Linked DNA regions of Struthio camelus. Each later gene encodes a partner of the first gene's protein in a complex. Links are inferred from orthologs where the notes say so. Each region holds a gene or a part of one and is shown on either strand. Other genes may lie near its edges. The genes, in order: F2 and F2RL3.

Region 1 (7,474 bases):
CACTGCTCTGTGACAGCTGAGCTGTGAGCGTTACCGAATCACAGACTCACAGAATGGTTTAGGTTGGAAGGGACCTCTGGAGATCATCTAGTCCACCCCCCCACACACTCAAACAGGGTTATCTAGAGCACATTGCCCAGGATCACGTCCAGGTGGGTTGTGAATATCTCCAGGGAAGGAGACTCCACAGCCTCTCTGGGCAACCTGTTCCAAATCCTCAGGGACAGAGCCTCCGGGTGAGAGTGTAGGGTATTCATCTTTTTGTAAATGTACCTAAAGCGTTGCAATTGCTGATCAAACTATGTAACTCACCTCAGGAGCATATTCAGAAACATCCCAGCTTTTGAACGAGCAATCTATATTGGTCGCAGAGCAGACAAAGGCCCAAGAAAATAGGCTAAAGTCAAATCCTCTATATGCTGCTCCCAGGAAGTTGGAAAAAAAGTTACATAAGAAATAAACAGTTGCAAAAAATTTCCTCACTTAAAAAAAACCTCAGTCTATATGGAGCAAAGAATCAAAACTCCCAATTGGGTTGAAAACCATGCCTTTGGGAGCAAAAAAGGTACAAATCTTTATTACTCTATGACAGGAAAACAACATCCTTCACTCATGGCATAAGCGCAGAAAGAAAAAAAAAGATAAAAAGTTGCTTACAGGAAAGGTGAACAGAGACACAAGAGTAAAATGTTTGAGGTGTGGAAGTCAAAGCTCCTGGAGAAGTGATAGCTGATGCACGCTATCCTGCTGCAGAGGCTAATCACAAGAATGTGTGGGGGAAAAAAAACCAATTACTGATTTAAGCTAAAGTTTGTCTTTATTAAGACAAACTTTATTATAGAGAAGACAGAGAAACGAAGGAATGGAAAAAAAGCGTGACTGAGTATATTGAAAGCTCCTATGAAGGAAAAAATTGCATCATTGGGAACAAAGATAACTATTAATAACAATCTTGTGTTAATCTTATCTTCAATAGGTAAAAAAAAAACCTGAGAGTATCCCATTCCAAACTTACAGATACTGAACTATGTAAATTATGGGCTTGCATATGTATGTGGATTTATGAGTACACTTTACACATTTACAAAAGGTGCTATACAATGTGAGGAGAGCTGAATTGCTGGCAAGCTCACATAAACCCTCCTGTGAGAGGCCTAACTATAGGCCCAAGTACAAGGCCTTTGATATCTCTGCTACCTTCTTCACCATGTCACCAGTAACACTAACAAGGGATCGGTAAAACAGTCAACAAATCACAGAAAAGCTATTCACCACCAAGGTTATGATCAATCAAATGTAATCCAAACATGAACCAATTGTACATATATATTTAAAAAAAGGAAAAAAAAAAGTTCTCAGAATATGGACCCTTTCTCCCCTTTGGCAAGGTGGATCAAGCCCTGTCTTTCTGATCAGAGCAAGTCTATGGACTGTTCTTCCGAGTACAGGGTGGTTGAACAGTGGCTCCTCTCCTTATACCAATTGTGTTTTGGCCCACTTTGTGGCTGCGCGCAATGCACCTCCTGCTGATTACAACACCCTGCTGGGAGATGGCCCCCCCCCCCCCCCAACCTGCTCCAGGAGCCCCTGTGAGACCAGCACAGAGGTGGCTGAAATCAGGACAACTGAGCTGGGAGACGGGCATCTGCGGGGCCAACTACTCACAGGAGGGTTGCGGTTCTGCTGGGTAGGCAGCGTATTAACCACATTGACCCCATTGCAGCAGGTCAACACGCTCCAAGGGGAAAAAAAAAAAAAAAAGATCAGAGCCTGAAGTCTACCCAAAAGCACCGGCCAGATGGAAAGGCCTCACAAAAGTGTTAAAATTAAGAAAAAAAAAAAAACCAAACAAACACGTTAATGCTGGATCTGAAGTACTGCGCCAGAAGTTACAGCAGCCAAATGAATTAATGCGTCAGACTACAGGCTCCATACGCAAAGTAAGTATTACCTGTAGAACGGATGCCCAGGAACACCTCCGTCTTCCTCTACGCGCCCGACCGGCTGTCACAACGCACGCTGAAAAACGTCAACGCGCGCAAGGGGACTTGGCAACACCGGCAAGCCCTTCTTCATTGGACGGCATGGGAACGACATCCACGCACCAATTAACAACTGAAAAGCAGCCTGACCTCGTAGCAATACAAGCCTTACATCAGAATCAACACATCATCCAGCCAGCCCACAAGGCAAGTAGCTGGCGCCGCTGCTGCCCAACGGTGCGACATCAGCGGCAGTTTTAGCTCCAATACTACTGCTATTCTACACCCCTTCTCGTGCCCAACGTTAGTTCCACTTGCTGCTACCCTTGTATTATTAATTGCAGCAATTGTGTCATAGATAAGAAGCTTTCCAGCAACCAGAAAGCTTACCGATGTAACCTGCAAACTACAAAATCTTCAGGAAAGGGCAACTGTGCGAGTGCATCACGGGGTGGAGCGTAGCGGGACCAGCCGGAAGACCATTGTGCACCAAGGAGTTAGAGATCCACGGAGCAGCTGACCTGAGGAGGCGCAGGCCTGTGCTGTGCTGCGCTGCACATATCACTTGGCCGCAGGATAAGCTTGGCTGGCTAATTAGAACAGAGGACTCTGCAAGCAGCTCCCGCTTGGTGCCTGGCGATGATGCCATCGACACGTTCTTGCCTCTGTCTAAAAGTGAAGCAGCATGTTTTCATGTGAACGTCCTTTTGCTCGACAGTAGAAATGACGAACAGAGCTGTTTACGTCTAAGAACATCCTACAAGAGCTTGGAAAACCCACAATGCCGGTGAACCTCACCGTGGATGGGATCTGTGCAGTGTGTCACACACTGACTAAAGATCCATCCGATGCTACACAACTTGGGTTTCCCACTATCTAGAGAGACATAAGATCATCTACGCTATCCCCTTCCTACTTCTTGTGTCAGCTACAATAAACGTTGTTCTAATCAATACTTTACGGGGTCTGAGTGCCTTTCTTAATGGGATCTATAACGAACACTTGCACCGGTGCATTACACCTCCATAAAATATGGCAGCATCTGTCTCTCTCATCACTGCTATAGGGGGTGGTGGTGGTGTCAGTCTTCCTGTGATGATATTTCTGTGCCCTGCATTCACATCCATATGGACTTGCTCAGGCATGACCAGCAGTCCTGAGGTCATGTGTCCAACCTGCAGCATGAGCCAAAAATCAAATCATCACATAGAAAACACATAGGTGTGTCCTTGCTGCTATCCTCTGCTCCCCAGGCAGCTGAGCCTGCCAGCGGGGCCTCCAGAAGTGTGGAGCCGTTTGCACCTCCCCTCACAGAGAGAAGCAGTCGTGACTGCTACGTGAGACATGAGACAGCAGCAGCCCTGATTTCATCACTGTTCAGAAAACTGTTTGTTCAGCGATGCTTCCTTCCTGCCCCAGCCTCATAGCGGCCCCTGCCTGTGTAACCCTCCTTCCATAGCGCTGCTTCCCTCATGCAAAGTAAAACAGGGTGTTTCTAGGCTTGTGGCTAATCCTGCGCACACCTGCTCCTCCACCTAGGTCATCTCAGCCATTCCTAAAAACATCTCTCCAAAGTCCGGGTGAGGAAGTATGAAAACAGGGAACGGTCTTAAACACGGGAGAGAGTCTGTGCAACTGCTCTTTGTACCAGTGGCCAGAGAGTCATTCCTCAGCTACCCTAATGCTAATATTTGCACATCTACTATGGAGATAAACATTACGGATATGTCTGCTGCACGGAGGCACAGCACAAAACATGCTCCCTGCTGGCAGAAAGCACTTTTGTGCCATGTGGCAGTTCCTGGGACTACCCTCACCTTGCCCTGCTTTCCGCTGTTTTCTCACAGTGAGAGAACAGTGCCATTTTTTGCTTGTTGTAGGAATCACTAGAGCTTTCTCAGGTCAAGTAGCCCAGTTCGTGGCTTATTCATTAGCTGATGTCATGACACTCAAGATAGTCCTGCCTCCCTATTCCTGGAAGCCCTTGTTTTCCTGGCTGTTTCGGGCTTGCATGTTCCTTGCTTGGCAGAGCTTCTGTTTCCTTTTGGATTTATTTTAGTATGTTCCACTGGTGTGGGAATAAAAGGGGGGACCCAAACTTCACTGCCTCACCCTCCTCCTGGGAATCTTAATGCAGTGGGAAGTATGCAATGAAAATGGCCTTGCTGACCTAACTGGGAAGAACATTTAAATTCCACAAGGACTGTAGCAGGCACTCCTGCTCCTTGGCATGGGTGAGGGAGAACAAGGGGGAGACAAGCTGGCTCTTTCACGCTGCTCTAGTGCCAAAATAGCTGCGGCTGAGCTTGCTGATAACTGCAGGGAGAAAAGACAACAGGACTCCGAAGGGTGGGCTTGTAGCTAAAAAGAGGACTGGGATTGGCTAAGCTCTCCAAGTCTTGCTGCGCCTGAGGCTACTAAAGAGCCCAGACTGTGAGGAGACTCAGCTGCAGGGAACCAAGCCAGGGTGGTGGGGAGGCTGCAATCCTGCCAAGAGCCAGAGGATGAGCAGAGTGAGCTGCTCTGGTAAGGGTGGCTGTGAGCTGGTAGAGACCTCTCCAACCCAAATTCTCCCGATACCCTGGGACAAGCTCATCATCTTGCTCCTCATGTCCTCTTCCCTGCTATGAAACGGGATACTAACTCTACTCCTGTTGCAGGGGGTGGGGGGAGGGGGAGACCAGCACACATCCAGAGATGTTTTGTGTTATGGTGTGGTTTCTGCCAATGAAGTATGAAAAGGAAGATACCCTGAAGGGAAGGAAAAAAGCCAAAAGAGGAGGGATAAGAGGAGCCTCAGCCCCACTGTCCCTGACACACCACGACCTCTGGAGTCCTGTTTCTTCATTCTGGTTCAATATTAACCCAGCAGGGCTGTGACTCCGCTTATTCTGTTCCCCTTGCGTTTCCCCTGCAGCCAGGGCTGTACAGCATGGCGCACAGCAAAACCAGCATACTGAGGGGCCTGCTCTTTTCCAGCCTTCTGCACCTCACATTGAGCCATGACGGAGGTAAGAGCCAAGGGCCCAGGGAGGAGGGCAGTACCAATGGGTGATGGAAGGAAGCAAAAATGTGGTTATTTCTTCTCAAGGGTAAAGCCCGTGGGAGATTCTCTAGGTAAGGCAGGGGGAGTTTCTAAAAGCTTTAAGTTGGGAATTAAAGGGTGCAGACAGTGGTGTGAGCACAGGGCTTTCCTGAGGAGGATGCAGCAGCTTCCAGCTGCGGGCAGGAAAGCCTAGTGACAATAGCTCAGTTGATTGTGTGGGCCACAGGGGAGATGGCAGGGAAGGGGAACGTAGCTAGGTCCAGGATCTTGCATGGCTCAACTATGGGCCTGTTTGGGCTAGTTAAGTCAGTTGACTTGGGTCGCTGCAATTCTCCATTTCCTCCTCTGTCCACCCTTATCTCCACTTCTGGTCATCTGCAATACACAGCTGTCCTACACTCACTGCTCCTTATCTTTTATTACAGTCTCTTCTCCCTCTATCTTTTCTTAATCTAAGCCCACTACTGTGTGTGGGAAGACCTGTTTACAGGGCTGAGATTAGGGTCTCTGAACATGAAGACAGAACCAAATTGCACCTTATCGCAGCAGTTTGAGGTCAGCAAGACAGAACATAGCAGTTGGCACAGACCAATAGCAAGCTCAGGCAAACAACCTTCTCCCTAATGGCAAACGAGCAGAGCTGCCCTGCCAAGGATAATGGAAGATTCCCCTCACTTCTGAGGGGAATCTACGTGATGACAACCCTCACAGCTTATAGAGACTGCACTGATCATCAGGTGTGGACATGGGGGGTTGCTGCATGGTGGAATGGGGGTGGGGCTGGGCTATGGGACCAACACACTAGCTGAGTGCGATTTTTGGAAACAATAAGGGGAGACAAAGAGGCCCTCTCACTGCAAGCATCCCATTGACTGGCCCTGTTCTGACTTGGTAGTTTTCCTGGACAAGAGGCAGGCACTGTCACTGTTCAAGCGCCCACGACGTGCCAACAAGGGATTTCTAGAAGAGATGCTTAAAGGCAACCTGGAGCGAGAGTGCCTGGAGGAGATATGTAGTTACGAGGAGGCCTTTGAAGCCCTGGAATCCACTGCTCGCACGGTAGGTACAGGGCACATGGGTGCTCCTAAGAAACATTCCCTCAACCAGCTCCTGTAGCGAGAGACCAGCATGCCACACACACAGCCAGGGACTGGGGGGTTGTAAGACACAGTGCTGAGAGATGAGGCTGATGTGTGCATGTGCCCCTGGGACAGCTTAAACTTCCTTAGGGAAGCTTGGATTCTTTTCCCTCCCTCTTTAGTTTAAGGACAAAGTGAAAATGAAACAGCCTTCCCTCAGCCATCAGTCAAGAACTGCACCTTCCACTTCAGCATAGTGCCACACATCTTCAACTGCCACAGCCCCCAGTGGCCCTCCAGGACACTCACAAAACAGCTGGCTTAGCAACCAAATACTGAGTGCAGGTGCCTCAAGACCCTTTGAGCTTAAGCTTTGGCACTGTCCCTTTTTCTGGCTTCTGGACTCGCTCACTGCAAAATTTCTGTTGGCATCCTTTTAGGAAACGCTCCTAGCCCCAAGATCAGTATTAGTGTTGAATTCCGCGTTCCAGAAAATACAGTGGTAAACAGACGAACGTTTGAGAGTTCAAGCCAGTAAGGTACAAGCTCTACAGAGCATTTCTAATGGAATTGCTCTCAGGCATGAGAGGTCTGACAGACATAGATCTAAAGAGCTGAGCAATACCTGCATACTATCTGTGGCCTCCGTTTCTTCACTACTCTAGAGCGTCCTCTGCCTTTTACCAGCCTTTAGAAGTTCTAGATCCAATTCCTTGGACTTCTGTAGAGTAGTACAGGCTTTGTTTCCTCTGCACATTGATAAGAGAACCACTGCAAGCATCTCTGGTCTCTTGCAGAAATGCCAGGCCTCTCTATCAGTCTGCTTAGTCTCCAATCCATAAAAAGTGATCAAAGTCTCTTCTTAGATGATCTCTGGCTGAATTAACAGCCTAATATGGATAGCAAATATTCCTGCACAGTAACTGATCTTTGGTTGCATTGAGTTTGCATCTCTGCATTTTTTAGGCGCGGTAATTTTCCTTGGCACATCCTGCCTGTTCTAGGTCAATACAGAGGCTACAAAGACCAAGCGCAGGCTCAGGACACATTAACAACCAAAACGTCTTTCATAGAATGGTACAGACTCCTGCAGACATTAGGTTAATCCATCACAGGGACACTGCTATATTGCAGTACTGCCTTTTATCAGTAAAAGGCATAAGGCAAAGCACATTATATGGTGGTGAGATAAAAACATGTACTTTGGGAGATCCAAGGCTGTGAATGGAAAGCAGCTAAGCAGAAGCCGTTATTGCAGCATTCCTCAACAGAGTTGTACCATGTCCACTTACCTAGGGACAGGGGCTTTCAGATGAAGCGGTTTCCAGGCTTCAGACTGTTGGATCTGAGAGGGATCTGATATCCGG
Region 2 (7,435 bases), on another chromosome or scaffold:
AGCTAGTACCAATGCGTGCAACCAAGACCTCTCTTGGAGCAAAGGCCTGTAATCAAATGAGAGCATGGAAGTCCATGAGGTGGCATAGTTGCTCCACGTGGAGATTATAGGTTTCAAAAGAAAACATTTTGTAGTGCCAGCAAAGCATATCTTGCTGCATATCGGTTATTTCTAGCAGCACCTTGGCTATGAGAGGTGTGAAAATAGGGTCCAGGCCTAGCCCCCAAGTACTCACACGCTAAATAAAACAGACATTCAAGAAAGTGACTGATTCCAGTTCTGAAATCTATAAGCACATCTGCTACAGGTTAAGACAATACAACTGCAACCATGAAAATAACCCTCCACCCGCATTTCCCTCAACCTCCCTAAATTCCTGGGTAATAACATGTTTAACTGTTCCTGCGAGCTCTGCACAACAAACAAATGTGTAGTTTTTGCAAATTAAGCTGTAGTGATGTGACCCAGATCTGATAGGAGTTTCCTTTACATCATTCTCAACACTTCCGTTGCCATAACAAAAGGCAACTCCACTTTCTGTTCAGAGTATTACTTGCTCACAGGGAAACAAACTGTTGTTCTCCTAATAACAATCCTCTGATGCATAAATTGTATGGAATAATTTGATAAAAATGATGGTAGTGGTGTCTCAGAGGACACAGTATGCTTTGCACAAAAGTCTCCTCTTGGAGATCTTGGACTTCTCTCAAAGAGAATGTCCCCCGGGCTCCAAGGGAGGCAATAGGCCCTGTGAAGGGACAGCCAGATCTGACATCACCCAAGAGCAGTTGGAGATCTCAGCAAGTGGACAGATTTGGCAATGATAAAGGACAGCTTAAAAATATCTTTCAAGTTTGCTAGATGGAATAAAAACTAATGGTTTTCTAAATTCAATTAAGAAATGCTAAAGGGAGTACCTGAATTCTGTATTTCATATCTCGGGACTTTTTTTTACACATCCTCATCTCACAATGACGCACACAGAGAAAGAGAGGGACTGTAAACTAGTGAGACTGTCTAGAAGTATGTGTGTGTAAACATGAGTTGAGATTTTCTTCATGCTTCAGCCATTCCTTTGGAGCAGAACTAAGTAGCTTTACCATAATGAAACCAGAGATACCCTCTATCTTCCACTCATCAAAACTAAACTTTTCAGTCTAGCAATTCTACTTATATCTGTGCTAAAGGATGAATCCAAGATGACAGAATCGCCCTAAGCTCAGCGCTGAGAAGGGATGAAGGTGTCTGTGTAACGCAGGGTAGCCCCCCCCCCCCCCCCCACTGTCATTATCTTCCTAAGACCAAAAGAAGCTGTTCCAGAACATCATCTAGTGAACTGTAGTGATGCTAAAAAACTTCAAATATTCCTGAATAATGGCTTCATGTGGACTTTCTATACTCTGAAATGAAATTGCAGGCAGAATAGTAATTCTGAAAAAAATTGTCTCCCGGGAAGCGTTATACCAGCATAAGGCTTACAAATGGTGAGGAAACAAACACAAAAGGTTTGGGCTTTGGGAAGTGAAAAGTTATGGGTGGGATCCCAGAGGAACAGGAGACCTGTGGGACAAACAGATGATGAGAGAGGCAGAGAGATTCCCCAGAACTGTGCAGCATCTCAGGGTGACAATGAGAGACGCGACCAAGTGAGAGGAGGGGGAGTTGGTGTGATGGTGAAGCCAGGAAGAGTGGCCAAGGCATGAAATAATCCTGCACACGCCAGAGCCTGCAATACCTCTCTAGCAAGGCAAAGGCAAATCTGGGTTGGGGGGGGGGGGGGAGAGGAGGGGTGTCCTTCTTAAAAAGATCGTCATTTCTATTTATAGCAATGGTCAGTGGAAGCTTCCTATGCCTTGTGGTTCTGAGAAGGCTCAGACACCAGCACGCTCAGTGGCTAGGAAAGGCAGGATCAGCCTTGTGTTCATGGAAAATGTGAGGTTGTGCTGACACTGGTGGAAATGCTCTATGCTGCTAGCTGTAAGGCAGAGCCTCTGCCACCATGGCCGGCTGCCTCTCCTGTCTGCATCGCGAATGCGAGCTCAGCCTGGGGCAGGTGTTAGCTGCACTAAGATTTCTATCTTGACACCTACTGGCTTGCAGCTGAGGAACTTCCTGGAGCCCCTGGAACTGGGTGGGAATAGCAAGCTCTACGAGGAAGAGGCTATTTAACTTCCAAACGCTGATCTTCCAAGCATTAAAGATGTATGTTTGGGGCAGGCCTGGTGGTGTTTACACCCTCCTTCCCTAACCTGTTTTCCAGCCTTACATCTTTCGGGTTCAGAGCCATGGAATAAAAGAGTGCCTTCTCCCAGGGGGTGAGCTATTGCACAATGAATTGCATTAAAACCAAATTGTTACCCCACAGGGCAGGGATCACACGACTTAAAGAGATGTTAACAAGCCGTGACAAACCTCTGGCATTAGAATTTTCAAGCAAGCTGTTCTGCATCTAAAGCAGTCACTAAAGATCACACAGCATCTGAAAAATGAAGGCTGCAGCAATGAGTAACCTCTCTCTGCTCCACTCCAGAGACCTGGCCATAGGAAGCAGGGCTGTGATTTGCACACTATCTGAACCTGATTATGTCTAATTTTTTGCATACAGAGCATGGAAAGGATCCTGGCTGAGGCATGGAAAATATGTGGCCACATGAGTCATTCTGTAATGGTTCATAAATCCTGAGAGAATCACAAAAAGCAAAACATCTAACGTTGCATCTTCCCTGTCCCTGCCAGTGGAACTCCACCTCTCAACACACTCGGCACAAGGATGTGGGAATACAGCAAAAGCAAAGGAAATAGAATCATTTTCTCCTTGGAATAGAGGAATCTCATCAAACAGCAGCCAGGCTCAGATTTGCAACCTTCACAGAAGAGGCCATTCATAAGCCGAGCAGAAAGAAACGAACTATTGCTCAGGTTGCCAAACCAAATTTACAGTTCCTACTGCCCGGACTCCAGCTTCTGTGTTTACTCCCTTGCAGAGCCAGGCAGGAGACTGGAGAGCAAAAGCCTAAAACCCAGCAGCCTCTCAAGCTATGACCTCTTGCCTGCCCACTTGATTGCCGGGAAGTGGTCATGCCGGGGCATTTACAGAGGTGCTGCGAGAGGATTTGGGATTTCCCCAGCAATGCTGTGCCAGGCAGCTGGCAGAGCATGGAAGGGATCTGCACTCTCAAAGAGTTAAGGAACGGGGATCCAAGCAGCAAAGGATGCTAAAGGTTCAGGTAACATCTGCCAGTTCAAGGGGCCCTTCTTACAACCCTGCATGGGTCGTCCCCATACAACAAACAGATATGGTGTTGCTCCAAGGTGTTAGCTAGCAAGGAGGCGTGCTCTACCCTCTTGGGGGTTTACTGGGTGGAGACTACACATCGCTGGACAAATACAGCTCTCCTCAGGACAAGAGTGGCTGAAATTCACCATTATCTGCCCAGCAGCAGACACATCCTGTGGGCTCTTGTCTGGCCCCTTTCCTGCTGGATGGAGCTGCTCTCCCTGTTCCTGGTAGTTTATCAGTGGAAGCACAGTCCCTCTGTTGAACCCTGAGACCTTGACAGTTATCGTTCATTTGGTACAGCACTCCAGGCTGGTGCTAGTGCCGATTCTCTCCAGTGCAAACAACTCAAGAGTCAGGACTTTTAATCAACCTCTGCAGTGAGGTCAAGAAGGAAGACGCAGGAGCTCTGTCCCCTGTCTAACCAGGGAGCAGGAGGAGAAATAGAGGTGAACACTGAAAGGCCCAGCCTGACCTGAGGGCTGCAAAGGGGAAACTAAGAACCATTAACTGCCACAGTGTGAGGCTGCAGGAGCCCTGTGTAACCCTAATCCCAGGGAGCTGGAGAGGTCTGTCTGGATCTGAAGCTCCCCTGCACTTCTTTTATGCTTCTGTGAGAGGATGATATCTTGTCATGTCATCAGGAAACTTTTTGAAACAGGGTGGTGGGGAAAGACCTTGGATCTCCCATGTGGCCACTTGGATCTCTCCCAAGAGTGGGTGGCGAGGTGCTTGGTGCAGATCAGAGGTGTTCAGGGACGGTGGGTTTGGTTTATTCGCTAAACCAAATTCAAGCTGCATCAAACCCGGCCACATGTGGCATTTCCAGGAATATTCTGGAGGAGGAAGGAGGCTCAAATGAGTCACTTAAACCAAGGGTTCTCTCTGACATACTGTGGATCTGGATACATATGCCCCTCCCTGGCCCTCAGCTGACGCAGGAGCTAAGCATCTGCTTAGACAATGCAAACCCTGGGAATGTCGTGACAGCCTGGTGCTTCCGCCAGTTAAGGACTGATAGAAGGAAATGCGTAAGCAGGGTCAGTAATACTGCTGTCCTCACGCAGCTCAGAGCACGGCAGTGCGTTACCGGTTCCTGCTCCAGCATGGAGACCCTCAGGAACAGACGGCTGTCACACAGGCTTATGCTGTGCTGCGCCTTTTGGGGACTCTGCTTGGCCTCTTCAGACTACGATGGTGAGTGTATGTATTTGGGTGAAAAATTCCTTCTTAAAGTACTGGATACTTGGTATATTCATAAGGTCCCTGAAAATTCATTTTTGTGAAGTTATCGTATGGATGCACACTCTAATTGAGATGGGTGCAGACTCTAATTGAAGCAGGAGATGATAGAAGATACTTATGGAAGAGAAGAGAAAGAAACTGAGGTGGGACAGCTTAGAGGAGGAGTAAAACAGGGAGCACTTGAAACCAAGCCTTCAGCTTAAAGTTAGGCTCCTGCAGCCACAGCTTTCCCTGGGGCGGGGGGCTCCAGACCTGAGGATTCTTCCGAAAGCTGCCTGGAGGAAGCGCTCTCCAGCTCTCTAGGCCTGCTGAGAATTATATGATACAAAAATCATTTGTGAATTGTGGGAAACCACACAACAGAGGAACGGTGTAAGTTTGCACGGGCTTGCAGAAGACACCAGTCAGAGCAAGTCAGGCCTGAAAAAGAAGGTAAAAGGCTGCTCGAGCAGGAAGCATTCACTTCTCTCAGAACGGATCATTTGGTCAGGACAGGCTGGTTACTGATGTTTATCCCTGCACACTTGATTCTGTCAGTCAGTTTTTTCTGACCTTCATACAGTTTACAAAATTCTCTCACTTCTAGGGACCCCAACATAAAATGCAAAACCTTAGTGGCTGGGGTAAGTGTTACACATCCAGCCTGCTCTGCAAAGTGCCAGTCCCCAGGCAACTGCCCAAACAGCAAGTAACAAGACTGTTTGCCTTGACAGATTACTCTCAAAACAGCACCGAGCAGGTAACAACATCAGAGAACACACCGTGTCCCCGAGCCATTCCTGGGGAAAAGGCGATGATAGACAACACCACGTACCTGATAATCCACGAGGCCTCCCGCTCCCAGCTGAGAAGCATGGTCACAGTGCGGCTCATCCCCTGCCTCTACACCCTCGTCTTCCTGGTGGGGCTGCCTTCCAACGGGCTGGCCCTCTGGGTGCTGGCCACCAGGGCTGAGAAGCTGACCTCCACTGTCTTTCTGATGAACCTGGCTGCAGCAGACCTGCTGCTTATCCTGGTGCTGCCCTTCAAGATTTTCTACTATTTCCTGGGGAACAACTGGCCCTTTGGGGAAGGCCTGTGCCGGCTCACCACAGCTTTCTTCTATGGGAACATGTACTGTTCAGTGCTGCTGCTCACGTGTATCAGTGTTGACCGGTACCTGGCTGTGGTGCATCCTTTCTTCTCACGCTCTTTCCGCACCCCTGCCTTTGCTGCCTGCATCTGCACTGCCATCTGGCTCTGTGCTGCCATCCTCACCCTGCCCCTGACGCTGCAGCAGCAGTCGTATCCCCTGTATGGAGCAGACATTGCCCTGTGCCATGATGTTCTCCCCAGGCATGAGGATGACGAGTATTACTTCTACTACTTTGTCTGCCTGATTGTCTGTGCTTTCCTTGCTCCTCTGGTGGTGACACTGTTCAGCTACTGCTCAGTATTGCGAGCCCTCCTGGACAGCGGAAAGCGGTACTCCTACACTATGAAGCTCACTGCTCTCGTGCTGTTCACACTTGTAGCCTTCTATACACCCAGCAATGTTCTCCTCCTTGTTCACTACTCCAGCTATTGCTCCAAGCTGTATGGTGACCTGTATATCAGCTACATGGTGAGCCTGGCCATCAGCACCTTTAACAGCTGCGCTGACCCCTTTATCTACTACTATATTTCTGAAGACTTCCGGGATAAGGTGAGGAGAAGATTCTTCAATCGCAGCAAAAAAACCACCACATCCTTGAAAACATCCAAAGAAACACTCCCTCCAAAAAGTTCCAAAGATTCACCGGCGTGAAGCCTCCATCCCAGCTCCCCACTCCCAAGGCACTCACAAAAGATGGTGGGGTGAGACAGAGACAACGCTGAGACTCCACAAGTTTCATCCAGAGCAGAGAGCAATATTTTCTAGGAGACAAATCCTGGTGAGGAAGAGACAGGTTCTTCTGTTTGTATGCTAAGACTGAATTAACTTGGGCCATGGGCTTTCCTGTGAGGTATGCAGTCCAGAGAAAATGTGGAGTGCTGAACACGTACAGATCTGTTATGGGGACACCGTATGCAACTTCTCATCTGCTCACGTACTGCCAGTGGCACTCCTGCCAATGTAGCTAGGTTTGGTTTTCTTAATGCATCTTACAACCTGGTTGCTATGCGTGTTCTATTCCTTTCTCTGCTATTGCCTTGCTTGCTGTCCTTGATCAGATATTCCCTTCACCTGAGCTGAAAAAGAACAGACACTTGCAAAATCAAATTTCTGAACATTTCAGAAGTAAAAGGAGATGCCTATGTGAAAGATACTCCCCTGAGCTAAAATATTATTCCAGGAGCGTGGAACGCTGGCTTCTCTAGCAATTACATTCTTGGCTTGTCTAGTAATTAACATCATGGTAATGTCAGCCCATTGTTGATAAGGAATGTAAAAAATCACATTCATTCATTCATTTCCATTTTCGAAGATGACCTTTAGCACCCACAATTACTCTGAGGCAAAGATTGTATTAATGAAAAAGGGTTTTTATGCCTCTTGAAGGGAAATATTAAAGAAGGAATTCAGGAAACCCTCACTCTGGAACTCCACGTTTCCTTTGTGCAACATCACAAGCCTTCTCTGCTGAAGCAGGTGACCAAGCTTGTTGCTCAGTCCAGGAACGTGTTGCATGTTTCACAAATTATAGCTAGCTTGTCCCTCAGACGCAGCTAGGGCACATCCCAGGGAGCAGCAAGGTAAAAAATGAGTGATAAACCTCCTGAGAGTCCTTGAATTCTTTGGTTTTACTGGTACAGGCATGACTTCTGTCCTCAGCATAACCTATGGATTTAGTTAGCTTAGAGCCTGCAACATGAATAAAGAGAGGCAAACAGGATTGTTTTAAAATCAGTTTTTAATAAAATATTTATCAGAATCTAAAACAAACCCTTTTC

The links.
Region 2: the proteins of F2 (region 1) and F2RL3 are in contact, whole or in part, in a crystal structure (PDB 2PV9), measured with the Mus musculus proteins. The link is inferred for Struthio camelus from reciprocal best matches to the Homo sapiens genes F2 and F2RL3. Residues at the interface, in NP_034298.1 of Mus musculus: Glu385, Leu386, Leu387, Cys388, His403, Tyr407, Trp410, Asp411, Arg428, Arg453, Glu454, Asn455, Leu456, Trp501, Gly502, Asn503, Trp508, Thr510, Gln516, Arg538, Ile539, Asp559, Ala560, Cys561, Glu562, Gly563, Asp564, Val585, Ser586, Trp587; in NP_032001.2 of Mus musculus: Asp54, Lys55, Pro56, Asn57, Pro58, Arg59, Gly60, Tyr61, Pro62, Gly63, Lys64, Cys66, Asn68, Asp69, Ser70.

What each region holds. Positions count from the first base shown.
Region 1 is NC_090946.1:39,725,385-39,732,858, reverse strand, and holds the start of F2 (prothrombin), read left to right. Parts: upstream 1-4,383; 5' UTR 4,384-4,508; intron 4,509-4,899; 5' UTR 4,900-4,914; coding exon 4,915-4,993; intron 4,994-5,923; coding exon 5,924-6,087; intron 6,088-7,474. UniProt on the Homo sapiens protein: Thrombin, which cleaves bonds after Arg and Lys, converts fibrinogen to fibrin and activates factors V, VII, VIII, XIII, and, in complex with thrombomodulin, protein C. Functions in blood homeostasis, inflammation and wound healing.
Region 2 is NC_090967.1:5,384,718-5,392,152, forward strand, and holds F2RL3 (proteinase-activated receptor 4), read left to right. Parts: upstream 1-4,245; 5' UTR 4,246-4,383; coding exon 4,384-4,474; intron 4,475-5,235; coding exon 5,236-6,308; 3' UTR 6,309-7,427; downstream 7,428-7,435. UniProt on the Homo sapiens protein: Receptor for activated thrombin or trypsin coupled to G proteins that stimulate phosphoinositide hydrolysis. May play a role in platelets activation.